Astyanax mexicanus: one gene and its partners. The protein of the gene in region 1 purifies or fractionates together with the protein of each later gene. This does not show direct contact. Links are inferred from orthologs where the notes say so. Each region holds a gene or a part of one and is shown in the gene's direction. Other genes may lie near its edges. The genes, in order: stx8, vamp3, sybl1 and stx7l.

The links.
Region 2: the proteins of stx8 (region 1) and vamp3 purify together in Homo sapiens (co-immunoprecipitation; 3 studies listed by BioGRID and IntAct, with this or other methods). This does not show direct contact. The link is inferred for Astyanax mexicanus from reciprocal best matches to the Homo sapiens genes STX8 and VAMP3.
Region 3: the proteins of stx8 (region 1) and sybl1 purify together in Homo sapiens (affinity purification with western blotting; 3 studies listed by BioGRID and IntAct, with this or other methods). This does not show direct contact. The link is inferred for Astyanax mexicanus from reciprocal best matches to the Homo sapiens genes STX8 and VAMP7.
Region 4: the proteins of stx8 (region 1) and stx7l purify together in Homo sapiens (affinity purification with mass spectrometry; 5 studies listed by BioGRID and IntAct, counting the BioPlex papers as one, with this or other methods). This does not show direct contact. The link is inferred for Astyanax mexicanus from reciprocal best matches to the Homo sapiens genes STX8 and STX7.

The regions. Positions count from the first base shown.
Region 1 is NC_064412.1:26,666,156-26,673,860, reverse strand, and holds the start of stx8 (syntaxin-8), read left to right. Parts: upstream 1-4,684; 5' UTR 4,685-4,690; coding exon 4,691-4,734; intron 4,735-4,852; coding exon 4,853-4,952; intron 4,953-6,306; coding exon 6,307-6,401; intron 6,402-7,705. UniProt on the Homo sapiens protein: Vesicle trafficking protein that functions in the early secretory pathway, possibly by mediating retrograde transport from cis-Golgi membranes to the ER.
Region 2 is NC_064431.1:5,052,394-5,060,315, reverse strand, and holds the start of vamp3 (vesicle-associated membrane protein 3), read left to right. Parts: upstream 1-4,905; 5' UTR 4,906-5,011; coding exon 5,012-5,013; intron 5,014-7,922. UniProt on the Homo sapiens protein: SNARE involved in vesicular transport from the late endosomes to the trans-Golgi network.
Region 3 is NC_064417.1:2,196,106-2,203,333, reverse strand, and holds the start of sybl1 (vesicle-associated membrane protein 7), read left to right. Parts: upstream 1-4,216; 5' UTR 4,217-4,352; intron 4,353-5,593; 5' UTR 5,594-5,647; coding exon 5,648-5,793; intron 5,794-6,500; coding exon 6,501-6,558; intron 6,559-6,743; coding exon 6,744-6,881; intron 6,882-7,228. Other genes in the region: polr1d (DNA-directed RNA polymerases I and III subunit RPAC2), read right to left, coding at 3,077-3,118. UniProt on the Homo sapiens protein: Involved in the targeting and/or fusion of transport vesicles to their target membrane during transport of proteins from the early endosome to the lysosome. Required for heterotypic fusion of late endosomes with lysosomes and homotypic lysosomal fusion.
Region 4 is NC_064408.1:40,137,389-40,145,366, reverse strand, and holds the start of stx7l (syntaxin-7), read left to right. Parts: upstream 1-4,962; 5' UTR 4,963-5,070; intron 5,071-7,962; 5' UTR 7,963-7,978. Other genes in the region: trace amine-associated receptor 13c-like, read left to right, coding at 553-1,626. UniProt on the Homo sapiens protein: May be involved in protein trafficking from the plasma membrane to the early endosome (EE) as well as in homotypic fusion of endocytic organelles. Mediates the endocytic trafficking from early endosomes to late endosomes and lysosomes.

The DNA.
Region 1 (7,705 bases):
TACCATATGGAAAGCATTTGGCTGATTGAGTATGTACAGTAACAATATAATAATGGTCACATGATTTGTAGAAACATTTCCAATAGTCCAAAATACATTATTTTGGCATTTTTAACACTGACTGACGTTTATTACAGGGTGCTTTACATGAGCTGAAAAATTAATTCAGAATTATAGTGTATTGACCAAAATATGGTCATTATATGGTCACCTTTGCACAGAGTTCCCACACTTGGTCTGACAAGAGGGGCAGGCGATATCAACAGGCATTAAATATAAAATCTAAAATAAAATTTAGTTTATGATTGCCCAGTATTTTAATAGGAGATTTTCAGTTTACAGAAAAATATAGTCTTTGACTATGCCTAAACCTGGGAAACTGGAATGGGAATGTTTACATTACCAGGCTGAAGTTACTCAAATCTGATTTTTTGCTGAATGTGGCTCAGATCTAATTTTTTCATGGCTGTGTGAATGTGCCAAATCTGACTTTTTCAAATCAGAGTTGAGCCATTTCCATACGTGGTCCTAAATTAGATACGAATTCGATCCATTGATATGAGACATGAATGTGAACTGTCAAATCAGAATTCATGCGTCTTTTTGCTTTTACGCATGTACTACGTGCTTCTCTCTTATACCCTCTCATATTTCTTGTGCCAGCAAAAGCAAACCGCCTGGCCTTTTTTCACCGCCTCGAGCTGAGCATGTACTTCAGACTAGTTGTTTGCTCTCCACTCGAGCAAAAGATGCTCCACATATGAGCTGCTAACACATCCATTTCACCTCTATAAAGGTACAAGTCGTCTCTCAAATATGACATTTTTGTTGTTGATGAAGAAGGCAATGTTTTAAAAGTATCAGTGTGTGCATGTTAGATGTTTCTGGGACAGATTTGTTCACATTACACACAGATACAGATCACTTACACTTGTGAATGTAAAGCGTCAAGATAGACAAAAAATCGGATTTGAGGAATGTGGCTTGTAATGTGAACGTAGACTTAGTGTACATGAATCACCACAACAAAAAGCAAAACAAAAATAATATTATGAAGAGTAATCAGTACAGTCTCTGAAAACCTTGCCATAATGTATTGTTGCTGTAAATCTAGTTAACAAAATATCTAAAAAACCTCATTAACAAAGAATGTAATGATAAACCAACCTACACCCCAATCCTTCCCCCATTACACACTTTAAATTGAATACTGCATAAATACTGTTTTCAAATGAAGTCACTCTTACCTGTGTGGTCTTTTTTGAGGTGTTTATGTGTGCATGCCTTGGATCTCTTGGGTGCCAGTTTGGTGTGGCTGTCATCTTTCTTCTCCAAGTCTGTCTGCAGGGAGAAAGATCTTCCAGTACTGGTCCCTTCAGACCTGGACTCACTGCTGTCATCAGGTTCACACATGTAGAAGGATCTGGACCTGGGTCTGCTGAAGTTTAAGTCAATCCTTCCAGAACCCTCAGGAACAAAAAGGGAACAGGAGCGAAGTCTCCGACAGCCAGCCAGAGGAGCGGCACCTGCATCGTTCCCTCGCTCCAAATCCACCAGACCAAAACGAGTAAATTCACTACCTGGGGAAACCTGAAGCATGGCTGTTATAGCACTACTTACATAAAGAACAGAAAGGTTTGCAAGAGTTTAGAAGACTCTAGAGTGAGTTAGAAGAGTTTAGATAAATGTGGAAGAGTCTGACAGCTTTAGAAAAAGAGTTACAGAGTTTAGAGAAGTTTAAAGGAGAATTTAGAATAACCTACATGAGCTTATGAAACTAATATTAGAGAGTAATATCTTTCTATGCCAAAGAAGTCATATTAATATTAATATAAATATTAATATAAATATTCTCCTCTATAATGTCTGAAGTTATGTTTCCACAATCAACATTACAAAAAAAATAACACTGCAACATATTTGTGAGGTATTGCACTTACAAAAAACAAACAAATAAACAAGCAAGCAAACAAATGTACAGCATCTCACATGACTTCTTATTCCAACACGTGTTTTTATTCTTGAAACAAAATATAGACAGCTTTTGGCCTTAAATGTGGGGCTTTATGATGTCTTCCAGTCATGTTACTTAGTGTCAGTCACATAAATCACGTTTTGTCAGATGACAAAAAAAGTTTAAAAATCTTCATATGATATCAACTTTGATTAATACATTGTATTGTATAAAGCCTGGATACTTTAGAAAGGTCTAACCTGTGAATATCTTGGTTCGGCATTGAAGACATTCTACTTTTTATGATTATCATTGATTAAGAAATTATCATTAATGAGGTTTATTAATTGAGAACTTATTATCATTGTTTACATTCTTATGTTTGGTATAAGTTAAAACCTTTTTATTTCATTATAAATTTTGTATTTGGATTATTCTCCTAATTTGGTAAAATAAGTAAATAAGTGTAAAATGTATATATATATATATATTATTTTTACTAGAAAGGACGTGACAGGAAAATGTCAAGGGTTTTCCTGCTTTTGGGGAAGGATTATCTGAGATATTGTCTCAAGTTAGTTATCATTACAATTCATTTAAGAAAATAAAATTTGTTTGTATTTTTTTATACCCATGGAAAAAATTATGTTAACCATGTCCTTGGACTCCATCTAAAAGTGGTCCCTTGATGTGCCTTTATAACATATTATGTGTTTTCTTGTATTAGAGTAGTATAAGTATTACATTTATAATACAGAAGCATGAAATAGTCCAATATACTGGTCCTGTGGAACTTTACACATTAATATGACATGGCTGTGAATATAATATTTAAAAATCAACAAGCTGACTGTGTCAACAATTTGGCTGACTAAACACCACAGACAAAAAAAAACAACAGATTGGATAAGTTTCTGCTGGGCTTTTAAAAAAGATTAACCCTTTTTAAAAAATATTAACTGTACAACTGTATACAATAAACTTAGGGTTAAATGTGCGGATGTGAATTTAGGAAAGGTTTGATTACAATATTGTTTTTGTTAATACACATTTCTTCATAATGTGAATTTAGTCATTTTTCTTTGTGCTGTATAAAAATGCTCCAAAATGACTTAAATTGTATAAAATGTATTTTAGTATGTAGTATTTTAATTACATTAACTTCCATTCAAAGTTGGTAGCAACAAGGTTTTTGTTTCTCCTAAAAGGTTATAAAACATTTAGCATGATAGTGAAGGTTTGATAAATGTAAAATAATGTAATTAATTTACAGAGGTAATGGATTAAGAGAATAGTTTATGAGACAGGGGAGCAGTAGAAACAACTAGAAAACAGTAAAATACTGATTGAAAAGACAGAAGACAATTGTAGAGCATTTCTAGCTAGCTTTATAGACTTTTATACGAAAACTAAACAACTATGAAGTATTTATATATTGTAGCCTTTATTACTAGGATGTAAATCTTATATTAGAGTACTTATTTAGTATTTATATAACTTAACAAATGGGGACGAGCCCTGAAATAAGTTCCGTGAAACTAGCTGTCCTCCTGGAAAGCTATTTTGAAATGTTGATATTTTACCTGAGGATGTAGGCGATTTAACCACAGGTAACATTTATTTTCTTTATATTTATTTATTTATTATTACTTTTTATATGGAGCTATACCAGAGGAGATATACCTCTCTGAAATTAATTTAAAAGGGTGACATTTTAGAAAATGTGCAGAAATGTCCGTGTAAATAAAAAAACATTAGCTTCGCGTTTCCAATACCGAGTGCAGTTTGTCCCTTACAGCGCTCTGTACTCAGTCGCAGAGTGAAACAGGAAGCAGCTGATCGCTGTAGCTTTGTTTTGATTTTCGTGTTAGATTTTTTCTGCTTTTGAGTTTTCAGTAAAACTCTGGGTTAATTCAGCGCAGTTCAGATGAAACATGGCTCAGGACCTGTGGTAAGTCTGAGCTTCAGCCTCGCTTAGTTCTCCTTATACAGCGCTATATAAGTTATCTGTATCAGCAGCAGCTCGAGCTGTAGAGAGAGTTAGCTCAGGTCAGCTAACCAGATAACTAAAATCATTAACATATAGCTAAAGCTGCTGGAGAACTTCTTACTGCGTACTGTCCTGAGACCTGTACTTATCCGGGCTCTGGGGTTACTGGTGTGTAAAGACGGCAAATCAGTGTGAGAGATTTTTGTCCTGGTGTTTAGAGGGAGAAGCTCTCAGTCAGCTGATCCCAGTCTCATGATGCAGTCCTGCAGTTTAAACTCAGACTGTCTGCTGATAATTAGCGTTAATAACACCGCAGTGCAGACACTACCATACAAACCACACCATATAACGTAAACTCTGAACGTGTTCAACACTCCGACCAGATATTTCTTGCTCAAAAACAGAACAGTTTCTGTTTATGGATCTTTTTAATCCAGCGAGCTTTCTTTACTGAACTAAAACAGAAACTATAGAGGAAACTCCACTGCATTTTTAGAATTATCTAGCTTCATAACTGTAGCCAGAGAGATAACTTACGTAACTACCTAGCATGTTTGAGACAAGCACATTCAGGTTTAGTGTGCTTTTTATTTGCCCGTTTTATTCAAGTTGTCAAATTGTCAGTACAGCTAACCACACAGTAATATAATGTAATGTAATGTTTTAATTTTTATTTCTTAAGGTCTGTCAATCCAAAAACTTTGAAAATATCCTCAAGTGCAGTCACAAAGATCGTCAAAAATGTAATGATTAAAATGGCACTCATCAGGAAAGGAGTAGAGGAGAACTTGTAGGTTAGGTGTATAATTAAATATTGTTAATAGTTTTTTTTTATTTAACTGTTTAATTGATCTCGTTCTACTTTGTGTAGAAAACAGTGCTATTGTTTTGAACCACTATTTCATCAGGTTGCAGAATTATGATGCCACTTGCCGACTGGCCCAAGAAATCGCAGAGAACATCCATGAGCGGAACAGACTGCAGAGAACCGGTGGGAACCCTGCCAAGGTAAAGAAATGACCTCAAAATAATGTTAGAATTGATTAGAATTAGACAAATCAGAGTTTCCTCACAAAAACCATTGAACTCATGAGAGCTATAAACTAATACAACAGGACTTTACCAGTCACGCTCATCAACAGAGTGTAATACAGAACATTTTCACTAATTTATAGAGTAGATAATAACATAATAAAGAAACTGAGACAGAGAGAAGTAGCTGCTAAATGCAAACTGGAAGCCAGCCAGTATGTTACATTAAATTACATTACATTACATTAAATTACATTTAGCAGACGCTTTTGTCCAAAGCGACTTACAATAGTCAAGTACAAAGTAATAGAAGTTTAAAGGTAAAACATCTTTAGATAGGGGCTTAAAGGAGGTCAAAGGGAAATAATGGGATAGAGAAGTGAAGGAGGGGAAGAAGGAAATGAGGTTAGAAGTAGTTAGTGTGTTAGAGGTGTTAGGAGAGTAAGTGCTCTTTGAAGAGGAAGCTCTGTCTTCAGGAGTCTCTTAAAGATAGTGAGAGATTCTCCTGATCTGGTAGTAGAAGGTAGTTTGTTCCACCATTGGGGAACTCTGTATGAGAACAGTCTGGATTACTTTGTGTGAATGTTTGTTTGGTAAAGCGAGGTGACATTCGTTGGAGGAGCGCAGCGACCGGGAGGTGACGTAAGCCTTCAGGAGCAAGTGCAGGTAGGAAGGAGCGGTTCTGTCATCACCTTGTAGGCGATTGTAAGAGCTTTGAATTTGATGCGAGCATCAACTGGTAGCCAATGGAGCTCAATGAGCAGCGGGGTGACATGTGCCCGTTTTGGCTGGTTGAAGACCAGACGTGCTGCTGCATTCTGGATCATTTGGAGTGGTTTTACTACACAGGCCGGGAGGCCATTTAGCAGGGCATTGCAGTAGTCGAGGCATGTGCACAAACTTTCTGATTTGGTCTGTAGAATATTTCTTCATAGTCAGGCTAAGGCTGACAGGCTAATGGTTACCGTAATTAACATGAATGTCAACTTTAACTGTAATAACTATCATTTAAATTTTTTTGGAAATTTGTATAATAATAATGTTTGATAATGAAAAGAACACTGCTCTTTAGAAGCGCTTTAATGTTATAACATTATTGTATAAATTACATAAATGTGGTCTTACATTGACAGTGATTTTTTTTAATCCAATTATTTCTAGGACAATATGATAAAAAGAAAATACAAATGGCTATAAAAATACTGTACAGTGAATGTAGAGTGCATAGTGCACAGTCCTACCCAATATTACTGGTAGTAGTTATATCTGATGAATATAAGTTAAAGTTATTAACGTATGGTTAATTTAAGTTAATGCTTTTTCTGTGCAGCTCAACATGACTCTAAGAGCGTCGCTGCAGAAGCTGAAACAGAACATCTTACAACTGAGGGAGACACTGGTTCGAGCCTCATCACAGCGCCGCATGTATCCTTTCACCACTCTTCCAAACTCCTATAAATTATTATACACTCTTATACATGCTTATAAAATGTTATACAGTATTCATACCCCTTGTACTTTTTCACAGTTTGTCACCTTACAACCGCAAGCTTAAATGTATTTTATTGAGAATTTAAGTGATAGACAGACACAATGTAGCACATGATTGTGAAGTGGAGTGAAAATGATACATGATTTTCAAATTTTTATTCAAATAAAAATAATAAAAGTGTGACATGCAAAGTTATTAGTAGACCTATCTTTCACTGCAATTACAGCTGCCAGTGTTTTGGAGTTCCACTTCACAATTATGTGCTATTTTGTGTTGGCTTATCACTTAAAATCTCAACGAAATAAAATTAAATTTGTGATTATAAGGTGACAAAATGTGAAACTGTTCAAGGAGTAGAAATACTTTTATAAGCCATTGTACATGCTTATAAATTTCTAAATGTTTTTTTATACATGCTTATACAATTTTATACATATTTATAAACTCCTACACATTTATTCACTTTAATAAGCACTTATACATGCTTATAAACTCTAATATGTGCTATTATACACCTGTATGCACCTTATACACTCCCAAATATACAGATCTGGGGAAAAAATAAGAGACCACTTCAGGGTTTGAATCAGTTTCTATCTGATTTTGCTATTTATAGGTTTATGTTTAAGTAAAATGAGCATTGTTGTTTTATTCTATAAACTAAAGACAACATTTCTCCCAAATTCCAAATGTAAAAAATTGTCATTTAGAACATTTATTTGCAGAAAATGAGAAATGTCTGAAATATAAAAAATAAATATACAGAGCTTTCAGACCTCAAATGCAAAGAAATACAAAGAAAACAAATTCTTATATTTATAAAGTTTTAGGAGTTTCAAGCTGTTCAGTTTGGTTTGATGGCTTGTGATAATCCGTCTTCCTCTTGTTGGTAAAAATAAAATAAAAATCCTCATTTTTAAGTGGTCTCTTACTTTTTCCAGGGCTGTATATATATCTAAACACTTTTATACTGCCTTTTATACACCTTTTTTGATGCTTCTTCTAATAACATATCAATATCAATATAAATAGCAAAAATGGTTCTATTATTTGCAAAATGTTCCAGCAATTTCCATATTTGTTATTCTGTTGAGACGTTACAAAAAAACTGCCTTTATAGGCCTGAATTACATCTACACAAGTATAACACAAACCTACAAAAACAGCTAAAACTCTAAAGACTTATTCCATGAAGCATCAGGTGCGTGTAAAATTACATCAGGATGACAAAGCCTTG
Region 2 (7,922 bases), on another chromosome or scaffold:
GAACTAAAAATGATTAAGATTAATAGGGGTGCCCAAACTTTTTCATATGACTGTAACATGAAGTAGATAAGTTGTAGTGGAACTTACATGAACTGCACTTTTACTGTTGAAACAAAACACTCAACCGGACAAACTGTGTTTCCAGTAGAAGAATAATACCTTTTGCTTCTGTGCTGTGACTCAATGAAGGTAGTCTGAGACTCTATAAAATGGAACACAAAGAAACAACAATAATTAATATTTTCTAGTCAATTTCAGGCCTTTCTATTATTACTTTACAAACAAATCAGATAAATTAAAAGCATATTTATGGAACAAATATATATTTCAAATGTTCTTGTTCCATGTTTTAGTAGCATCTGTACAGAGTAGCTGTTTTTGGTATTTAGGTCTGTTTTGGACATTATGCTGCTTCTTCAGGAATTAAACTATAACATATGTAAGGTGTCAGCACACCATGCATGTTCCTGTGACAAACACAAATCTCTTTTTATCTTTTAGGAGAGTATTAAATAAATTGGCCAAACTTTTCTCTGTATCTAACCTGTAAAGTTAAGTGTAACAGGTACTGTACCTGTGGTCATACATTTTTCTGTAAAACCTCTGATTCATTAAAATATAATCTTTTTGCACTAAATATCTGTCTTTCTTTCATTCATTGCATATACAATGTATTTTATCTAAAAAATATTTACACATTCATAGAGCTAGAAAATAAACAAAATTCACATATGTTTAGTGTCTTTTTTTAATTAAGTAGATTACAACCTCCATTAGCCTGTACATTAGTATAAATACACTAGGGCATCTAAAAAAAATTACTTACTTTATTTCAGTAACTCAGTTTAAAATGTGGAACTCATTTATTATATAGATGTATTACACACAGAGTGATCTTTTTAAGCATTTATTTATTTTATTGTTGATAATTATGGATTACAGCTAATGAAAATCCAATCAGTGTCTCACAAAATTAGAATATTATGTATGACCATAAAGCATGCTTTCGGCGCATTGTGCCAGGTCCAGCTGGAAATTGAAATCCACATCTTCATAAAAGTTGTCAGCAGAGAGAAGCATGAAGTGCTGCAAAATCTCCTGGTATACACTGCATGATTTTGGACTTGATATAACACAGTGGACCAACACCAAAAAATGTAAAATCTTACAGCACTTCATGCTTCCCTTTGCTGACAACTTTTAAATAGAGATGAGGATTTCATTAAGCTGTTAGCCACAATTATCAACAGTAAAAGAAATAAACACTTAAAATAGATCACTCTGTGTGTAATACATCTATATAATATTTGAGTTTGACATTTTGAATTAAAATACTAAAATAAAAAAAGAAAAGATCACTAAAAAATGGTGAGTTTCTTTAATTTTACCAAATTGAAAACCTCTGGAATATAATCAAGAGGAAGATGGATGATCACAAACCATCAAACAAAGCAAAACTGCTTAAATTTTTTGCACCAGGAGTAAAGGCATAAAGTTATCCAAAAGCAGTGTGTAAGACTGGTGGAGGAGAACATGCCAAGATGCATAAAAACTGTGATTAAAAACCAGGGTTATTACACCAAATATTGATTTCTGAACTCTTAAAACTTTATAAATACAAACTTGTTGTTTTTTTGTGTTTTTTTTTTTCTTTTGCATTTAAGGTCTGAAAGCTCTGCATCTTTTTGTTATTTCAGCCATTTCTCTTTTTCCTGCGAATAAATGCTCTAAATTTGGGAGAAATGTTGTCTGTAGTTTATAGAATAAAACAACAACGTTTATTTCACTCAAACATAAACCTATAAATAGCAAAATCACTGAAGTGGTGTCAGAGCTGTATATAATATCTCAGTATGAGTAAGTTACTTGTAGCTATACGCTGGTAAGGAAACTATGCTTGGAGAATGTAACTCTTAATACTAAACCTTTACATATACATTCAAGCAAAACCAATATACTCTAGGCTGTATATTAAAAAATAAAACAGCAACATAATACTCCAAACAATTCAACAATTTAGTGTTCCCCAAACATGACAGTTTTAACACAAAACTTTGTCAATTCACTGGGGGAAACGTATTAAGAGTTTAGCTAGCTCACCCACTGAACAGGATTAGCTAGCTCTAGCTAGCTGCCCAAGGCCAAACCCACACACTCACACAAAACAGTCCCACATTTTCCAAAAATCAACCTTTTTTGTGTACATAACTTGTCAGAGTCTGCTGTGAAATTGCTATTGTGTACTTTTATAGAGTTATTCATTTATTTTAACCTCTACAAACCTGTAAAACAGGAGAGAAATGAAGAGACAGCTCCAGAGGAGACTCAGTTCTCTGTAGTTCTGAGAGATAGAGGTGGGCGGATCGATCCAAATATCGATAATATCGATACCAACGCTGGTATTGGTATTGAGCAATACTCGTGTAAAAATATCGATATTCAAGCTTTTTTCTCTGCCGCACGCACTGACTGCTGTGCACGAGATTCACCACAGTCTACTCTCTGGTCTCTTGTTGTTGCACATGCATCACATGGCTCAGCAAAGCCAGCCAAACCGCCAGGCAGGTAGGCTCAGCCTGGCCCCGCCCACTCAGCGCTCTCCTCGAGTCCACACGCCTCTACCTCAGGAGATTTGTGTTGAGTGATATTTTTTTACACTCTGTTTATTTAAGAAAAACTTGCATTTGAATTGCACTGAATGGAAGACAATTCCTTTCCAAATGACAATTCTATTAAAAAAAGAAACAAAGAAACAAAGAACTAGAAAAGATGTCTAGTGAGGGGAGAATTTTTATTTTATTTTTTTATATTTTTTTATTTTATATTTAAACTTTGTTTTGTTACTGTTCCATTGTTTCTAAAAAAAATGTTGATTGTGATACTAAAGTATTTTGTTATCACTAATGTTTGGTGAAATTTTATCCGAGGTTTTTGGATCATTTGGATCTATAAAGCTTAAATATTAAAAAGTATCGGTATCAGTATCGATATCGGCAATACTGGCCCTGCGTTTACTTGGTATCGGATCGATACCAAAATTCCCGGTATCGCCCACCTCTACTGAGAGAACAGTGTAGAGGGCGCTGTACTATGTACCTGCCGCCTTCTACTGCCACCCTCAGGTTCGGAGGGGCTATAGCAGGCTTGACTAAAAGAGCTTTATTTGTTGATTTTTTTAACTCAATAAAAGTACAATTTCTATTAATTTTACAAGAATAACACCCAACCTCAAATATGTAAAATAAAATAAAATATTTGCACGTATTTTTCACTTTTTACTAATACTTATTAAGACTATAGATTATATGTAGTTAAATATAATACTGATATAAAAAAAAAACTCTGGTGTAAAATTGACTTTAGGTGTAGTAAAACATGATAAAGAGTACTAACCTTTGTTAAATAGCCCACCTCTGTTCTCCCGCAGCTTTCCGAGATGCAGTAATTTTGTGCTTTTTTCCCAGCACTCTTTACAATGGACGCTTCAGGGCATCCACTTGCCCCTGCAGATAAATCGCTTTTTACACTATAATCCAGGCTTAAAGTAGCTTCACAACTTATTGACAGAATTCGGAGATCCTTGACATTTAAAACGAGGCATTAATAACTTTAAAAGTGCACAATAAGCTTATTAGAAAATAAGGCAGAGATTAGACTACGCTACGGGTTGTAAACAGTGTTTTTTAATGAGCTTCTTGTCCACTTTTAAAGTTATTAATGTCAGGGCTTCTACCAATTCTACCAGTGAGGTGTGGGGCTACTTTGAATTTTGAATCTTTTATAAGGTCATTATCACAGTATACTGTGCTGTTACATTTTAATAGTGGGTTTCTTGACATGATAAATGAAAACAAAAAGCTTGTCTTCTCAAAGAGACCTCAATATTACCCCTTGAATAGGATGAGTTAAAGTCACCAAATAATACATTGTTTAAAAACCGTACTAACTAGCTTATTTTCTGTTTTACATATTTTATCATATCTAGGCCTGTCACGATAAGATTTTTTTGTGGACAATATATTGTAATAACAGAATAACAGAATAGCATAAAGAAGGCAATTAAAAACCTTTTAAAGACAACAAAATGTGAATTAATCAATTATTATAATTAGTTTGGGAATTAATATACTTATTTCTTCACCTACTTTAGTCCACACTGTGTGTATCGAGCCACAGTTATTGAAGCATGACTGGCTAAAATACTGTTCGCTGTTACATATGTGAACAAATATACAAATAAACACAATAGACGATATTACGATTATCAAAAATTATTAAGGTCATGTTAATTTATTGTACGATAAATAGATATTGCAATTATCATACCCCTTGCTGGAGACTACAATTTTATACTTTTCAGTAAATTCTTAGAAGAATACAAATAGACCACCTGAATTCAATAGGTCTAGAACAAAAAATATCACACTTTTAGCAATAACAGCCCTATTATTCAAAGTATAGTTATGTAGTGAAAAGTTATAGGTAAATATAATCTTTGCAGTATTATTTATTGACTGTTTGTGGAAATTTGACAATTTTACAGAGATTTTTAAAACTTTAAAATCACATCTTAATAGAAACTGAATTCCTCCAACTTTACTAAATAGTTTGTTGGAAATGTGGTACCACAGAAGAGCAGAAGTTTCCTCTGTTGTGCAGGACAAGTTTTTCAGAGTTACCAGCCTCAGAAACAGCTCCCCATACAAGTTAACTAGCTCCCTAGATGCTAACAGTACCTAAATGCTTCTTCACAGAATATTTTGGTTTGTTTAACACTTTTAAGTAACTAAACGATTCATTATGTGTTTCTTCATAGTCTAAATCACTTCACTATTCATTTACAATGTAGGAAATAAACTGAGTCAGTAGTTTAGTGTGGAGCTGGCCCTTTAAGTTAGTGTGCTGTGAGACAGTAGTCCACACAGACTGACTGATAGACAGAGCTGCAGCTACTGATCACTACGGAGTTTATACAGCAGCCGGCCCTCTACCGAACACCACATCAACAACCATGTAAGTGTGTTTTATAGCGAATGTGTGGGCGCTTTTAAGCGGATAGATTATATTTATGTTCGCTATATACATATTTAGGAAGTTTGATAACTAGCTAGCTATCTACTCCAGCTAATACTCGCTCAAAACAACGCCCAAACTTCCCCAGGCCTCCCTCAGCAACAGGTTAGCATGCTAGCCAAATAGCTAGCTAACTAGCCAAGCCTAGCTTAGCATAACTTATCTTAGTGTTTTCTTTGGCTGTAACTTTAAAAAAAGCTTCGTGGTTTTGAGTTAAACAGTCTGTGTACCTGATTAGGTTTATTTTTATTTTCTTTAACTAAAAAGAAGCTTCTTTAGTATCAGTTACAGTTAAATACAGTTCCAGCGCCCAGACTAGTTGTTATTAGTTAGCTAGTTAATAAACTTAATATAAGGGCTAGGTTAGCTAGCGCTAGATAGCCAATTAGCTTAGCATAACTTTTACCGGTCTCTTTTACTTAAAAGGCTAGCTGCGTTAAGCTAAGCTAAGCTAACTAGGTCAGTTAACTTCAAGAAACTAGCGACCAGCGTCAAAAAATTGAAGTTTTTTTCCGTGGTTTTACACATTTTTCGTGGTTTTACAGCGCCAAACTGCTGATACATCGTCATTTATTAATAATTACATTAAAACCCCTAATCACTAAAGGATAGAGAAGGAGATGATGTTTTTAAATCCGCGGACAGTGTTGAGAAAACTCTCTGCTATATTTTGTGTTTTTTTCTGGATATTCTATAGCTAAATAACCGCTAGAAACTGCAATTGTCCATCATTGCCACATAGTACGAGATGTGTCAACGGTTTTCTCTTTTTTCTGTCTTAATGAACACAGGAACCAAGCCCAAACTTATATCCTCCAGCAAAAGTAAATGAAACACTCCCTTGTGTGATTAGGCCATAAGGTGCACTAGAAAGTGATTTTCGTTTGTACGTCTGGGGACTATTTTTATTTTATTTTTTATGTGTTTTTGAATTGACAACCCCTTCATTGACGTTAAGTTAAAAAATCTCAATAAAACAATCCTGCAGTTTTTTGTTACGATGCATAAATTTAAGTTATATAAATGCGAATCCAAAAATCCCAACACAAAACATATCCCAAACTTACCTGTACATGTACCTAAATATCTGAGACAAGTATTAATGCTTTAGTACACTCAAATGTGAAAGTAGATCATTGTATGTTTGATCACGAATGCACTGAGAAGGTGTTTATTTTTACAGGCATATGAAAGCCCATACCTTGTACTTAACCCTCCCTAACATGATTTCTATTTTTGGGAAAAAAATATAATAATAATTCAAGCCATTTTTGGGAGCTTGGGAGCCCCTGTTGATATATCAAACTTTTAAATGTGATGTGTTGTAACAGGAAAGCGATTAAAACATGAAGAGAAAGGAGTCTCCTGGACTAAAGATAAGACCCAATGTTTTAGTATAATTGATCAAACATAAGAGCTGTATGTGCTCAGTGTTACCCTGAGGCAACAAATAAAAATACTTTTGTAGTAGGTTTCTATTCATGTCTCACTTGTGTCACATTGTATTGTGTGGATGTTTTCAGTGTAGAAAGTCTAGAAATATAAATAATAGGGCATAAATAAAACAGGCATTGTGCTATTTTTGTTTGTTCTACTATATATACTGCAATATATATATTTTTTAACACCAGATTTCATAAAAAGTTTCACTGTGATCCATTTCTCTCTTTCTTTATACAGAATTTGAGTGTATGTTGGTGTCTTTGACAGTTAAACTGCTAAACAGTCTGTTAAACACAAACGCAATCAGGTAGTGAAAGTGAGAGCAGTAAGATTTAGTTCGGATATGAGCTGTCTGACAGATGGCTCTGCTTGTTTCTTTCATCAGGTGACAATGGTTTTGTCTAGTAATTCAGACATGCAAACCTGTGGTTATGTCTAAGGCAAGAACGCATTATTAGTGGATGTCTGTCCATCTATCTGTCTAACCAGTAAACTTCAAGCTAAAAAACAATTGGCCATTGAAATCAGCCTTTAAATCCCAGATCTCTTACATGCCTTTTCTTCAATTATTTGATTACATTCAGTCATAAAAGTAGTAGTAAGATCAGTTGACCTGTGTAAATACTGTTGACCTAGTCACACAGTGAATGTTTTGTGTTCTGAGTTATTTTAGGGTCGTCTGAGTGGACCTGTAGCTAAAACAAAGAGCATGTGATTTGTTTTCCTGCTGTTGTTTTACTAATCCTAAAAGAAATGTGCTTTCTTTCGCACAGTGCAGTTTACCCCGAGAACAGGTCAGTTCTGAGTAGGTCATGCACAGTATGCAGAATGTAACCTCACAATATGTTGCATTTTCACAATTTGCATTGTGTGTTTTTTTTTTTTTTTTTTGGGAACAGTTTGTCAGAGACATAGACAACGCGCCAGAAAATCACTGTAGTACTGTGTTTACAAACAAAAGGACTGAAAGTTATTAAAATGGTTTTAACTTTACTTCACATTTGAGTGTTTAGCCCTCTTACTTCTGCCTGGCATTAGGCAAAAAGTTTCATGTTTATCTGCACAAAATGTTGTGTAGCAATTAGCTGTGAGAAGATGTGTGTGAGTATTTGCACATCTGTGTCAACTTTGGGTGTTACGTAAAGTAGTTGAATGCGATTGTGTTTGTGTGTCTTTGTTTGTATAGTTTAATAGATACATTTTAAATTGATCTAATTTCTGTACTGCGGTAAAATAGCTATATTATAGATATTAAGTGTTCTGTGAGGTTTGTCTGCTGTGTGCATTAGACCCCGAGGAAAAAAAAAATCAAACAAATCCAAAGAAAGGCATGCTGTACTCCCGTTTCTCTCATAGTTTTGTTACTAAAAAGCCACAATTCTAGAGTAAAAAGATAACCATGCACT
Region 3 (7,228 bases), on another chromosome or scaffold:
GAAATCAATATTTGTTGGAATAAACCTGGTTTTTAATCACAGTTTTCATGCATCTTGGCATCATGTTCTCCTCCACCAGTCTTACACACTGCTTTTGGAAACATTCAAGCAGTTCAGTTTGGTGGTTTGATGGCTTGTGATCATTCATCTTCCTCTTGATTATATTCCTGAGGTTTTTAATTTGGTAAAATCAAAGAAACTCATCATTTTTAAGTGCTCTCTTTTATTTCCAGAGCTGTATAAGATCAGTAATATCAGTTCTCTATATCTGATGGAAAAGCTCATTTAATACACTTGGTGGTCAAAGAACTAAACGGCCTCCAGTGCTTTGGAAACACCTGCAGTGTTCACAGTCTGCATGATTCTTCATGAAGTGAGGAACAGAAACTCAGTAATGCTTTAAGACGTGACTGATGAATTACAGGCCTATTATAAATGAACACAGTCAGCTGCTGTTTCTAAACAGGAAAGGAGGGAAAGAGAGGAGTGAGACGACTCCACTGATCAAATGCCAGTTCTATTGTTTTGTTTAGATCAGGAAAGAGGTGTGTTCTGCTTTCAAAAACTCAGTGAAACAGTGATAAAGAAGGTGGATGAAGGGAGCAGCTGATTAAAAACCCCATTAACAGAACAGGATAAAATCCTCTTATCATATAGAGACTGTTTGAAGTCTCTAATTGTGGGGAAATTAGACGGTCTGTGCAAAACTACAATCTCAGCATCAAAGTCTAGAAAACCATGTTATCATTTTTTTGTGGCATATTGCACGTAACTGTGATAAAGGAGGAATAAAAATAGCACACGGAGGCCAAATAAAGGAGTATTATTCTTTCTAATTCAAAACTGCAAAATTGCCTGCTCGAAATATGCATTAGTATATGATTGAAAATAAGATATGTAGAGAATTTTGGTGTAAAAAGCTTTAAAGTTCTATGTAGGGCAAATATATTTATATTTTTAAGATTTATCACTTTTCTCACTTTATAATGATTCAATTACAGCATGTTCATCAGTGGCTTTAAGTCAGTATTTATTTTAAATACTTTGCTTAATTAAAAACTTCTATTTTTTTTATTTTCCTTTTATATTCATTTTAGAATACTTTAGCATTAATTGGTGTTCATTTTTTCATTGCCTTTATTTATATAATTGGTAAAAATGCAAGTTATTTGCTTTTATAGTGTATTTATTTTTTACAGATACACCGATACATCTTTATTTTTATTTTAAAATAAAAATTAAGATATCTGTTGTAAATTCATCTGCATGTGTGTTTTCATTTACTCACTTGCAGAGGGTGTTTTGGGGCCACATATACAAAGACCGGGATAAGGTAATAAACGTTTTATATTTTGTTTATAGATTTTATTGCACTAAAAAGAATACATTTCTCATTTTATTCACAGTATACAAAACAGACTTATTACACATTGTTTACAGTCTCCTCCACAACTATACATGCATAACAAGTAAAACACGTTTGACCCTGAACTACACATAAAGACACACACTGTTTTGACAATTTACATAATTTAAATTTTATAATAATCTAATTCTACCATATTGAGCTTTTATATGTGGTAATTAACTTTCAGTGCTGCGCATTTTAATAATTATACACTCAGTATCTTCTACAGCACGCCGCCCCCTAGTGGTAGAGAGGTTAAACTGCATCAGTAACATATCTTCTCTTTCTAAACAAATGTGTATTATACACTATGTATTATACGATCAGTCCAGTCAAATGTGTACACACCTCTTGTGTGTAATAATGTATCTAAATGTAATATAGATAAGATAATAGGGTAAAAAGTCTAGTCTAAACCTAGTCTGCCTGGTCTAAACCATACCATTATTACGGTCTCTCTATAAAAAAAATAACAAAAATAAAAAATAACAAACAAAAAAAAAATAGAACGACCAGCATTATAAAATAAATCATCATGATGTTTAGAAATATCAGCTGACTGTCTGCAGTCTGTGCTGTGTTCATTTATAATAGACCATTAATCTTCAGTTTTATTAATCACAGAATTGCTGTTGTGTGACATTTTTAGTTTGTTTATTTAAGTAAAGATGCATATTTAAATGTTTATTTAAACTTGTTAATTTTGTGATAAAAATGGCTTTTGATGGAAAAATGGAAAAAAAAATTCGATACTGTTGTTTTAGTAATAATTACAAACATATTTAAAAAACCTTTAAGGGACAACTTGTAAATATCAGTTTTGTTTTTTTTACTGCATTGCCAAAGTATCTGATCGGCACTCTGTATCGGCAGAAACTCAAAATCAAATGACTCGGACTCAGGGCATAAAAAATGTGATAAGGACATTCCTACTAAATGTGGCTATTTAGAAGAATCTAGAACTGTGGTACTTTACCAGCCTTAAGATTTTATACCACTATATTTGCATTACTGCTTATATAGGTTCTGTTTACAATGGTACTGTCATTTGTGTATCTTGTATCCCATGTCTATGTCTGTAACCCTGTTGTATTGTACATTTAGTGTCTCTCATTCTTTATATTTTATTTTTATTTTTATCTTGCTGCATTTGTTGTAACTTTAGGAAGGAGAGTAGTAATTTTAATCCTCTGTATTTTCTGTAAATATGCAGAATTGACAATAACACTTTTTGATTTGACTACATTTAGTACTGTGAAATACAAAGCATTTCAGGGTGGAAGACCAGGTGACAAACCAAACGGCATACAGTTTTCTGTACAATTTTGAGCATCCAGAATGTGAGCTATGGTTTATTAAAGGTTCAAACTTAACATCAACGTTGTCATTTAACGTTGAAATGCCAGCATGGTTGGTTAAACTATGGGTGATACATTGCTTTAAATATTTGGGAACCACATATCTACAGTTTAAAACATGTTCTGGTTTGTTTAACACGTTTTGTTTACAGAATAATTCTGCATGTGTTCCTGTATAGCCTTAATACAGTCTTCAGCATTAAATTTACAATGTAAAAATAATATAAAAAGAAACACAGTGAATCAGAAGAGGTGTCTAGTTTTTGTCTAATACTGCAGATTATATAACGTAAATATATATTAATCCTACCATCTCCAGCACGCGCTTCTTCTCTGTATCTGCTGCGGCCATGCTCGCGTTCTGGACCGTGGCACGCGTGTCGCAGCATTATGACGTTCCGCTCAGAGGAGTGACGCGTTCTGTTATTATAGCTGCAGCAGAAACATCAGCTTAAACTGCTTTAATGCAGCCAGGAGGGAATAATAATTTTTTTTGTAATTGTTATGTGTGCATGCGCGTGCTGCTCGTCTCGGCGCGGGGACTTTTTAATAAAAATAATATATTAAAAAACAGGTGTCACTCAAACACAAGCACGGGTTTGTTTACGGGACGGGTAAAGGCTGGCGCAGGTTGATGATGAAAGTTATGGTCAGCCACCAGAGAGCGCTATTCGTATGAGTGCCGATGGAGTAATAGTGAAAACAGATTATATTAAAAAAATATGAGTTTATATATTTTTATTTATTTAAACTAAACAGTGTCAACACAGAACGATATAAAATGTTTCATTAGCACCAGCGTATTTGTAAAGCTTTAAAACTCTAGTTATAAGGCTTTAAAACATTTAAAGTGCTCTGGTTGTGACTCCCAGAGGCATACTCAGTAAATATTTTATCCATAAAATAAAATGTACAAAAAAATCGGACCTATTTAGGCCTTATTTACTCTTACATATATTAAATTCAATATATACAATGTAAAAAAATCGTTCTAAATTAATGAACATTTTGAGAAAATTTCATTTTGTTTTTTGGAATTATGCATATGTATATATCTTTAATAAAATAGTTCCATTGCTGCTCTGTTTGTAGCTGCACTGTTTGGCTTGTAAGCGCTGCATCATTTCTAGATTATCTGTATTTGGCAGAGTAATACATGGAGAGCTTCGGTTACAGTGCATTATCGGCTGATAACAGCACTCATAGAGTGCTTCTCAAGCAATCACACTGCAGGGTTGGAACTAACTGTGGAATAATGCTAAATAAAACTGTTAATGCATCCCTAGGCTCTGTCAATTTTGTCACATGTTTAATTTGCGTTTAAAAAAATACACAATACATTTTCCAGATTAACTGCATGCGTTAACACGTTAATTTTGACATCCCTAAATATAATATAATTTCACCCACTTCAGAAAAAACTACACTGAACCTGCGGTTGAACTACATTTCCCGGCAGCGCAGCGGAAGCTCGGGGTCTGGGTGAAGCTGGGCGATGCGGAAAGAGCTCGCAGGAGCTGTGGAGGATTGTTTTCATGACTACAGCGTGTGGATGGACTCATATGCGTGATTTAACAGCGTGACAGGTAGCTGTATTTTCTGTTTATATGTTATTCTATATTTGCTTTATATAAACTAACAGCTGGATGTAAATATAACTGTGTTTGTTTGTTAGTTAGCTGAGTAACGCTGGTAGAGTTGGTAGAGTGTTTTGTGATTAGGTTGATCGCAGGGATGTGCGGTAGATACAGTTCAAGTGCTGTAATATTTTGTATTATTGCAGTATTATTTAGATGCCATCTTTATGTAGCTGATTACTGAGGAATTTAGGAGGTGGTTGGTGGGGTGCTGGCGGGGTTAGTGAAGGCAGATCGGGGCTGGAGTGTTAAAGAGAACGGGTGGAGGATCTGGGAGAATCTCGCAGCTTCCAGAGGCTGTTGTTGTGGTAGCTAACCTAGCTAATGCTAATGCTAACGCTATGTGTTTCGGTTTCATTATGTCCGTGGTGTGTTTTATATCATAGCCTGTAGATAAAGTTAGATAGTGCTGGTAATAGGGTTTCTTTGTGACGAGAAAAATGCGCTATTTTTGGTTTTAAACACTGTCGGTCTCTAACGCTGCTAGCTAGCGTTAGCTATCATATTAGCTTGTGACTCATCAGGAGCTATAACTAACATTAGCTTATTTAACCCTAGCTAACTAACTAGCTAATTACCACAATTGTGTAAACGAGATGTAATTTCGCGTACCTGCCCCTAATAATGATTAATACAACATGACAAGCTGTTTTAGTCTGTGGTCTAACTTATTCTTTACTCTCATTTTAGGTTACAGCTCTAATTTTATTTGCTACTGCTAATGATAACATAACTACATGACATGTGTAGACATGTTATTATTAGCAGTAGTAAAGAAAAGTAAAGCAGCATAAAGTTATCCAAAAGCAGTGTGTAAGACTGGTGGAGGAGAACATGATGCCAAGATGCATAAAAACTGTGATTAAAACCAGGTTTATTCCTCCAAATATTGATTTCTGAACTCTTAAAGCTTTATGAATATAATCCTCTTTTCTTTGCGTTATTTGAGGTCTGAAATCTCTGCATTTTCTGGAAATAAATGCTCTAAATGACAATATTTTTATTTGGAATTCGGGAGAAACGTTGTTGGTCGTTTATAGAATAAATCATATACCTATAAATAGCAAAATCAGAGAAACTAATTCAGAAACTCTTATTTTTTTTGCAGAGCTGTATGTGTTTTAATATTGAGACATAGAACAGGCAACAATGTTGTGGTGTAGACTTATATTTAACATTTTTATCTACAGCACCTGCAGCAGTTTTTAGTCAGTAATTCGGACCTCATCACCCTCGTCCCTGCTATGGCAATCCTCTTTGCTGTGGTGGCTCGTGGAACAACCATACTGGCCAAACATGCCTGGTGTGGTGGAAACTTTCTTGAGGTGACAGAGCAGATTTTGGCCAAAATCCCGTCCGAAAACAACAAACTCACCTACTCCCATGGCAGGTAGGATGAACAGCCTACAGACTGCAGGCATTAGATTTTTTTTTCATTTTTGCTATTAAAATGTCTAGTAGTACTAAGACACAGCAAGTTTCTTTATTTAAGGTGAATTCCATCATATTTCCATTTGGAAAATTTACAGATTTTGATTCTTTACGATGGTGGTGATGAGAACCAGGTGTAGTGATATCTGATGCACATTCAAAAAGTCTCTACAATTAATGCATGTAAATAATGCTAAATGCTAAATAATAATAATAATATAACAGTGTCTCAGGCATGAAGCAGCATATCACAGCTGTCCACTGGAAAAGCATGTAGCTGCATTTTTTTTTTTGTCAGGTTTTACATTTTTCGGTCCATTGTTTGAAACCTGTATATGCTCTGTACATTCTAAGTGTAGATGATTTTTGCTTTCACCACTGTAGAGATACATGTTTTTCATTGCACAGCAAGGATATGCATAGCTATTTAATATTACAGATATCTGTAAGGAAGCATTTAAATGCATTAATTTCTTAAGAAATCTGGTTTCTACTAATGCAAAGAAGAATTATGGTACTCTGTAATTCTGTATGTTTCTCTTGAATAGCAAATTTCCTACATTTAGAGGTTGAATTTTTGTAAATGTGGAGGATTCTCCTTTGATATTGCCTTTTTCCTCCAAGTGAACTTTGCTAAATTATTGCCGTGGCTCTTCTCGATTTCAGCTATCTCTTCCACTACGTCTGTCATGACAGAATCATCTATCTATGTATCACAGATGATGTAAGTATGAATCCCATCCTGATTGACTTTTGTTCTTGAATGTTCTGCAGCTAAATCTGTGATCAGATCATTAACATTAAATCCTGATCATGCTTATTATTAGTAAACTTGAGTCTAGAGTGATTTGTTTTACATCATATATGAATGTCAGTGAGTGAGGTTGTTTTGTGTGCCCTTGTGTGCAGGATTTTGAAAGGTCGCGTGCGTTTAGCTTCCTCAATGAGGTGAAGAAACGTTTCCAAACCACCTATGGCTCCCGGGCTCAGACAGCTTTACCCTACGCCATGAACAGTGAGTTCTCCAGCACTCTCGCTGCACAAATGGTAAGTTGCATCAAACAGTTTATGTTATACATTTATAAAAGTATACTTCCTCAGGTTCCACCTTTCTCTTAATGTTGCTGTTTAGTTCCAGAGAAGAAGTCTTGTATACTTGCTTTCACTTTTCAGATGAAACAGTTCTCTCAAGTTATTATTATTATTAATTTAACTAGGGATGCACTTATTTTTTTCAAACGGAGGGGAAGCATTTTAATTTATATTAAGCAATGACAAATGTATCAATCATATTGTAGTGTTTCCTCTAATATTAAGATTTTTTTGTAGTGGTTTGAATGAACCCTGTAGGAGAAACTACAAGGGCCAGACTTAAACCTTCTACACACACAAAC
Region 4 (7,978 bases), on another chromosome or scaffold:
GGAAAACAGTTAACATCTATCTAGTAGAACATCTATCTCCTACATGGACTAGGCTAGTTTTTAAAATGTGTCTCCATAAAAGTAGAAGGAAGCAGAAGGAAGCATGAAGTGTTGTAAGATTTTCCGGGAAAACACTGCACTGACTTTGGATTTGATATAACACAGTGGACCAACACCAGCAGGTGACATGGCTCTACACACCATCACTGATCATCAGTTAATTTTGCATTTCATTTAGATATCAAGGGACCAGAGTCCGGAGGAAGAGTGTAGAGTCACACAGTCCAAGCGGCTAAAAACACTCTATGTAATACAGCTTTATAATATATAGTTTCACAATTTTTTGAGATGCACCTGTAATTATTAACATCATGGGAAAAGGTTTTTCATGGCAGCAGTGGGAATAGTTTTTCTCAGGAAGGAAGCCAATATAAGTTCTCACTTTTCTTAGCAGGGCTGATTCTGTACCTCGCCTCTTGAACGTGCAGACTAGAGGAAGACGGCTCTCTTTTTTTCTCAGGTTTTTTTCTTTATGTAAAGGGGGACTTTGAGATGCTACAAGCCACAAATTCAAGTTTTACATCTACAATGGAATCATATTTAACAGAAGAAGCAGATTTAAGCCAATATTGTTATCCTGAATCTAATGCCTCATGTGTAAAAAGCTTTTACAGTGTAGGAGCTAAATCTGTTTTATATTTTTTACTCATTTTGGCAATGGCAGTGACTGTTCTTGGGAACTTTGTGGTTATTGTCTCCATTGCACATTTTAAACAACTCCATACACCCACAAACATTCTGGTGATGTCTCTAGCCTTGGCCGACCTGTTTGTGGGCATGATTGTCATGCCCTTCAGCACGATCCGATCTGTGGATGGCTGCTGGTACTTTGGACAAGGCTTTTGTTTACTGCACTCTAGTTTTGACATGCTTCTGACCTCTGCATCTATCTTCCACCTGGTCTGTATTGCGACAGACCGCTATCAGGCTGTGTGCCATCCTCTTCACTACCCCACAAGAATAACTATACCCACTGCATGGTTAATGGTAGCTCTGAGTTGGACTACAGCTGCGGTGTATTCATATGGTCTAATGTATTCAAAAGCAAACGTAGCAAATCTGGAAGAGTATATGGAGTCAATTTTCTGTGTGGGAAGTTGTGACCTTTTGTTTAATGCACTATGGGGGGCTTTGGATACATTGATTGGATTCCTTTTGCCATGCTCGGTCATGGGTTGTTTGTATGCTAAAATATTTTTGGTGTCAAAAAAGCATGCGACGAAAATTGAAGGCAAGAAGCAGTGCAAGAAAGGGACCAGCATGAATACGGTGTCTCAAAGTGTGAAACATGAGAACAAAGCAGCAAAAACCCTCGGCATTGTAGTAGGTGCATTTATTCTTTGCTGGATGCCCTTTTTTGTTAACTCTATAGTTGATCCTTACATCAACTTCTCCACACCTGCGGTACTCTTTGAAGTGCTTGTCTGGCTGGGTTACCTTAATTCAACTTTAAATCCTATAATATATGGCCTCTTCTACCCGTGGTTCAGGAAATCCCTCTATCTTATTGTTACACTGAGAATATTTACTCCTCATTCCTCTGACACAAACATTTTTCTAGCTTAAATGTCTTTAGCATAGCAGGTTGTGTTATTTATGTACTTTAGTTCTTCTAAAGAGTAAAATATATTGTATTATAATGAATAAATAAAATGTATGTCACATTTCATCATTTATTTGCATTTTAAACTGCTTAACACTGATCAATAGCATTTGGACTTACATATTTAGATGCGCACATGCATAGAATGTGTTACATTAAGTAAATGTAAGAAAATGAAATGTGTTAATGTGAAATATTTTATTTTTGATTTTTGTGTTATGGAATGTGAACAGATTCAGGATCAGATTATCAAACTAGCTGTTTTGTTGTTTTCAGTAGAGAACACTGTCATATATATATATATATATATATATATATATATATATTATTTTTTTTTCATTTTTAGATTTTTATGTTATACATACTATTTCATGTTTTTACAATGGTGGTTATGGGAAACAAATGTCACAATGACTACAAAACAAAATAAATCATTTTAATTAATCATCATTTTTACATTTTAACATCTAAAAACACCAAAGAACCTCTTATATGTTTATCTATGTAATGACAATGGTAGAATGCAAATCTGAACAAATAGGTTTTTGTTGGGGACTATTTTGCCCCACAATGCACTGTCATGTATTCATTCACCTTGAATACATTTTCAAAGATTTATTTCATAACTATGTAAACTATTTCAAAACTTTCTTTAAATAACTTTCTGTGGTGAAGCTTTAAACTTTATTTCTCTTAAATTGAACTCTGTGGACTCTTCTATTTATCACCTATGAACAATATCTTTAGAATGTAAAATTTCTCACCACACCGCTTTTTCTCTTTTTAAACAGTACATCCTAATCATTAAACTGTCTGGTTGCAGTTTTATAAAGGAAACATTGTGCCATAATTTGGGGCAAAAGCATTTCGTGTTAGTGATCAAATTAAAAATTAATTTGTTTAATTAAAATGTGGGGTTGTGGGGATGGCAGGACTCTGAATAGGTGAAGTCAAGTATTTACCACATTTCAGGCTTGTAGGACAGTGCAATTTACTGCCACACATTTACATTTACAGAAATGGCCAAAATTCTGCCATCTCTGCACTTCTTACAGAAAATGCACCACCTACGCTGATAAACAACCAAAACACAAAAAAGCAAAAAGAAAAATGTTGCATCTTTCCACACAGAACTGCAGAAAGAAACTGTACAAAATATTCATACCACAGGCTTCAGAAACACTTCTATACTGGAATTTTGGACCACTCTTTTTTTGTTTTGCCTGACCAGTTTCTTAGATATTATTATATATTAACTTGAAGTTCCAAAAAGATTTCAATCTTTCGAAAAGTAGTTTGAATCCATTTTAGATATCAAATACATAATAGAGCCCAAAGACATCCTTGTGTCTCTGATATGTGGTTGGGAGTTCTAAGACAAATTCTGAGACAAAGTGATATTTGGGTGAAATAAACATTAAAAAGTAGTTAGCTGAATTGGTAATATTTGGGTGAGATAAGACTTCAAATCTGTAAGTTGTTAGATAAAGTGATGATATTATATTAAGGAGTAGTAAGTCATTAATTTCGCTAGGTGGCAGTGTCGCGAAAACATAGGGTTCTAGAACTGCGGTCCTGAAACTACTGCGGTCCTAAAACTGCAGTCTCTGGTTCTGCATATAATATATACTATTGACCCGAAACCCTAGTTTTTAGAATGAATATATTAGGCTAAGCTGGGATGGTCGTTCCAGCACACTGGTACCTTTAAACACAATATTTTATCCCTTCTTCACTCAGAAATGCTTCTGCTTTTAGTTTAGAAACAAAATAATACGCACTGCCGCTTTAAACATGGTGGTGGTATGAGCATGCATGGCTTCCAGTGGCACTGGTTCACTAGTGTTTATTGAAGATAAGACAGAAGCAAAAGGATGAATTCTGAAGTGTACAGAGATTTACTTTATGCTTAGATTCAACCAAATGCAGAAAGGTTAGTTAAACAGGGCTAAACTGTACAGATGGAGCCAAAACATGGAGTTTTTGAGGTGAAGAAGTAGAATATTCTGCTGTGGCCGAGTCAGTCACCAGATCTCAACCCGATCAAGGTGCCTTTCACTTGCTTAAGGCAAAACCCACAAGCAAACAACAACTGAAAACAGCTGCAGTAGCAGTCTGGTAAAGCATCATATAGGATGTTGATGGGTTCCAAAATCCAGGCAGTCATTTTAGAAAATAGTTTTAATTCCTAAACACTTCATTGGATGTTTTTGTTCAACACCTTAAATCAAACCTGAAAGTCTACTTCAGTTGCATCTCATTTGTTTCATTTCAAATACAGTGTGGTGGCATGCAGAGCCCAATTACTAAAGATTGTCTCACTGTCCACATATTTTTGTATAGTGCCATGGGCAGATAATGTCTTAAAACAAAATACAAGCACTCAAAATTGTTCTATTTAAAACTGGCTGAACATGTGATCTTTTTTCTACAAGTCGTCCCCTGGATTTAACTAAGCAAAAGATCTGGGGTTGCTGCAGTTGGTCAGGTTTAGGTTCAGCAACAGTATGTGCTGAAAGAATGAGGTCAGCTGACTACCTGAACATACAGAATATAGACCAGATTATTCCATCAATGGATTTTTTCTTCCCTGATGAAACGGGCATATTCAAAAATGACAATGCATGGATTCAGGGTGCTGGAATTGTGAAAGAGCGGTTCAGGGAACATGAGATCATCATTTTCACACATGGATTGTTCACCAGAGTCCAGAACTTTGCTCCAATGAGAAACTTATAATAAATAAATATACATAATGCAACACTGGATTGAAATAAATCTTAAGACATTACAGAAACAATGCCACAGCAAATGTGTGCCGCGATCAAAGCTAAATGCAGTCCAACAAAATATAAGAGTGTGTGACCTTTTTTTTTATCAGTGTATATTGCATTTGTTATGTGCCACAAATGCTAATTACAGAAGCACTGTATGACAATAATCCAGTTGTTTCTTGCCATTTTAAAAGGGTGTTAATTTTGTCCAGTTTCTTTCTGGGCTTCTGAATTAACATATTATTGTAAATAATCACATTCATTTGAATACTGTCTTGACACCTTTGGTTATAAACAGGTTGGTTGTAAAATGTTTGAGAACCTTTGACATAAGCAATGATAACTGGGCTTGGTGTCTTTTTTAGTTTTTAGTGTTTAGTTTATCGTTGAAGATTTTGTCTTGACATTTAAAAATATCTAAACTGCAAAAAAGTAGTTTAATTTATTAATTTAAGTGACAATTCTATTCAATCTCAGCGCAGGAGAGGGCGGGCCTTGTCCGAAAACGGGTGCGGAAAAACAACCGTGAAATCCTCCAATCACCGCCCGACAGACTCTCACGTGACAGGCTGGACTTCAGCTGTGAGGAAGTCTGCTGTGGAGAATACTTTCACCAAAGCCGAGGAAACCGAGGTAAAGCTAAAAAAGACGCGTTTAATACAGCTGATAAACCCGGAGACTGACTGTGTTTAATGTGGAGCGGCTTTAAGAGACGTACAGTGGTGTGAAAATATCCGGAAATGTGTTAAATAGTGCAGAGTATTGTATATTAGGTGTCGCGTCAGTAACTAACTCTAGGTTAACTGACGCTGGAGGTTTCTGGTGCGTGAACACTTTCGCTGCCAGTGTGGTTTCGTTTCTTTTTGTGACTTTAGAGCTTAAATAAGTGAGTTTCGGTCTTTATAGGGACTTCTGCGAAACTTACATTGATATTTAGATCCTATAAAGCCTATATATACTGTGTATGTATACTGTATATATACACACATGTGTAAGGCTGGTCTGAGAGCTGAACCTGGTGACAGCTGCTTCTGGGTGTGTTTGTTAGTTTCCGCATTTTTGCTGTTGTCTAAGTTCAGCAGGTGAGTTTTAGAGGAGACTGTGAAGCTCAGCAGGTTGTCTAATGACATAAGTACAATCTCCCAAATCCTCCAGTAAAAGTATTTTAGAGACAAGAGTAAGAACAGCTGTCAGAAACAGCTCTCAGGCCCGGGTTCAGTCTTCTCCTACAGGACTGCAGTGTGGCCTGGAGAACTTCTGCTGTACATATCATAGTGTTTTCCTCCTTTACACACCAAGTTCATGTCAGGAGGAGCTTGGTTAGTTGCTGAGTAGCTGGAACAGATGTTTTGGGAGCAGGACAATCTCTAAAACACCTTGTACCACCCATAATCAAACTAAAACACACATGCATGTGATTTTAAATAATGTGATACATTCTGCTCTTTATATTGTAGTGTTTTCCTCCTTTAACAGATGAGTTGGGAGAAGGACAAACTCTAAACCGGTGCTTATCAAACTTTTTATACCTTGTACCATGCTCAAACTAAAACACACTAAAGTGTGTCAAAGACCTGCATAAAAAGGATTAGTGGTCATCAAAAAAGTATTGAGATTTACGAACTCCATAAGAGTGTCCCTTTATTAATTATGAGAAACTGCAATTAAATAAAAGTATATAACCTACTTACTTTTTATTTAGTACAGAGTATTGGTATATTTTGGCTCTGTATTTACTTATAGGAAGGACCCTCTTGTCTGCAGGTCCATCCTCAGGGGGAGGTAGTTGTCGGTAGTTTCATTTACTGTGAGTAGCTATCAAAAGAGATCAATCATGAAGCAGCACAACTACTAAAATAATATGAACAAATGCAGCTCTGGAAAAAAATTAAAAGACCACTTTAGTTTCTAAATTAGTTTCTCCAATTTTGCTATTTATAGGTACAAGTAAAATGAACATTGTTGTTTTATTCCATAAACTACGGACAATATTTCTACCAATTGTCATTTAGTGCATTTATTTAAAAAAAAAAAAAAAAAAGAAATGACTGAAATTGCAAAAAAAAAGATGCAGAGCTTTCTTACCACAAATAATGCAAAGAAAACAAGTTTATATTCATAAAGTTTTAGGGGTTTAGAAATCAATATTTGGTGGAATAACCCAGGTTTTTAATCACAGTTTTCATGCATCTTGGCATGTTCTCCTCCACCAGTCTTACACACTGCTTTTGGATTATTTTATGCCACTACTAGGGCAAAAATTCAAGCAGTTCAGCTTGGTTTGATGACTGTGATCATCTTCCTCTTGTTTATATTCAAGAGGTTTTCAATTTGGTAAAATCAAAGAAACTCATAATTTTTAAGTGGTCTCGCGTTTTTTTCCAGACCTGTATGTAAATTACGGATGGCAATTTAATGGATTGTGTATTATTTATGCTATCAGGTATCCCTTTTCCGTCAACAGCAAGACAGTGAAGTATTGTTTTTTTAAGGTAGGAAATGTGGCATAAATGCCATATGATATGTCAAGACAATTTCACAATATTTGATGTATCACAATAGTGGCAAACATTGCAGATGAAATAAATAAAAGCATGTGTTGGCACACTTTAAAAGAATTGATGACATCCACAATATAAACTATAATGTAGTTATGTTATATTGACAATGTTATATAGACAACTATAAATCAATAAAGTATATACTTTCTTTGGTGTTACATGATGTGTTGATTCATGTGTGGAACTGTTTGGTACAAGTGGTGGGACAATACATTATCATATCGCTTTGACTGTAACATATGCTGATGTGGCGTCAATTATCATTATTTTTCTTATATTTTATTGAAACATAGGGGCTCTAAGAAGACTCGGCCCTCAATTTGACTTACAAAAGTCACTGTTTTTTTAGGTGGGGGCGCTAATCAAATAAAAAGGGTATACCTGTGACAAATAATATTGTTTGTAAAATTCTGTAAAACTGATCCATCATTCCTGATATTTGTATTTTATTCTCTTCATCCTCTATTGTACAGAATTGTCTTGCATTATATTGAGTCACAGTATTATGATATTATCGATACCATGGGCAACGTAACGTGATACCATATTGGGATCTGCCCTGTGATTCCCACCCCTATTTGGTATAACACACAATAACATAGGCTTTATCAGTATCATGTCACACTTAGTACTTTAAATGTTTAAAGAAAAATGTAAGCAGTAAAATGTATTGTTTTTCAATTTCAGTATTTATTTTGTGTAGAGCAGTCCAGTTGCTGAATAAACAAAATCGAATGAAACTAAAGTCAAAAAGGAACTGGGAACTAAACATGAGGGACTAAAATAAAAGTGCTGAGAAAAGTTTCTAGTAGACTAAACAGAAAACATATACATATACTGAAAAATCATGCCGTGATCTTGTCTTTTTTTGTTCCTCTTGCTGTGAAAAATACAAGTATTTGTCAGTTGTGGCTTGTGAGCTTCTTAATGTGTTGTTACTTATGTATCCTCTACCAAATTCTAGAGTTGGAGGAACTGAA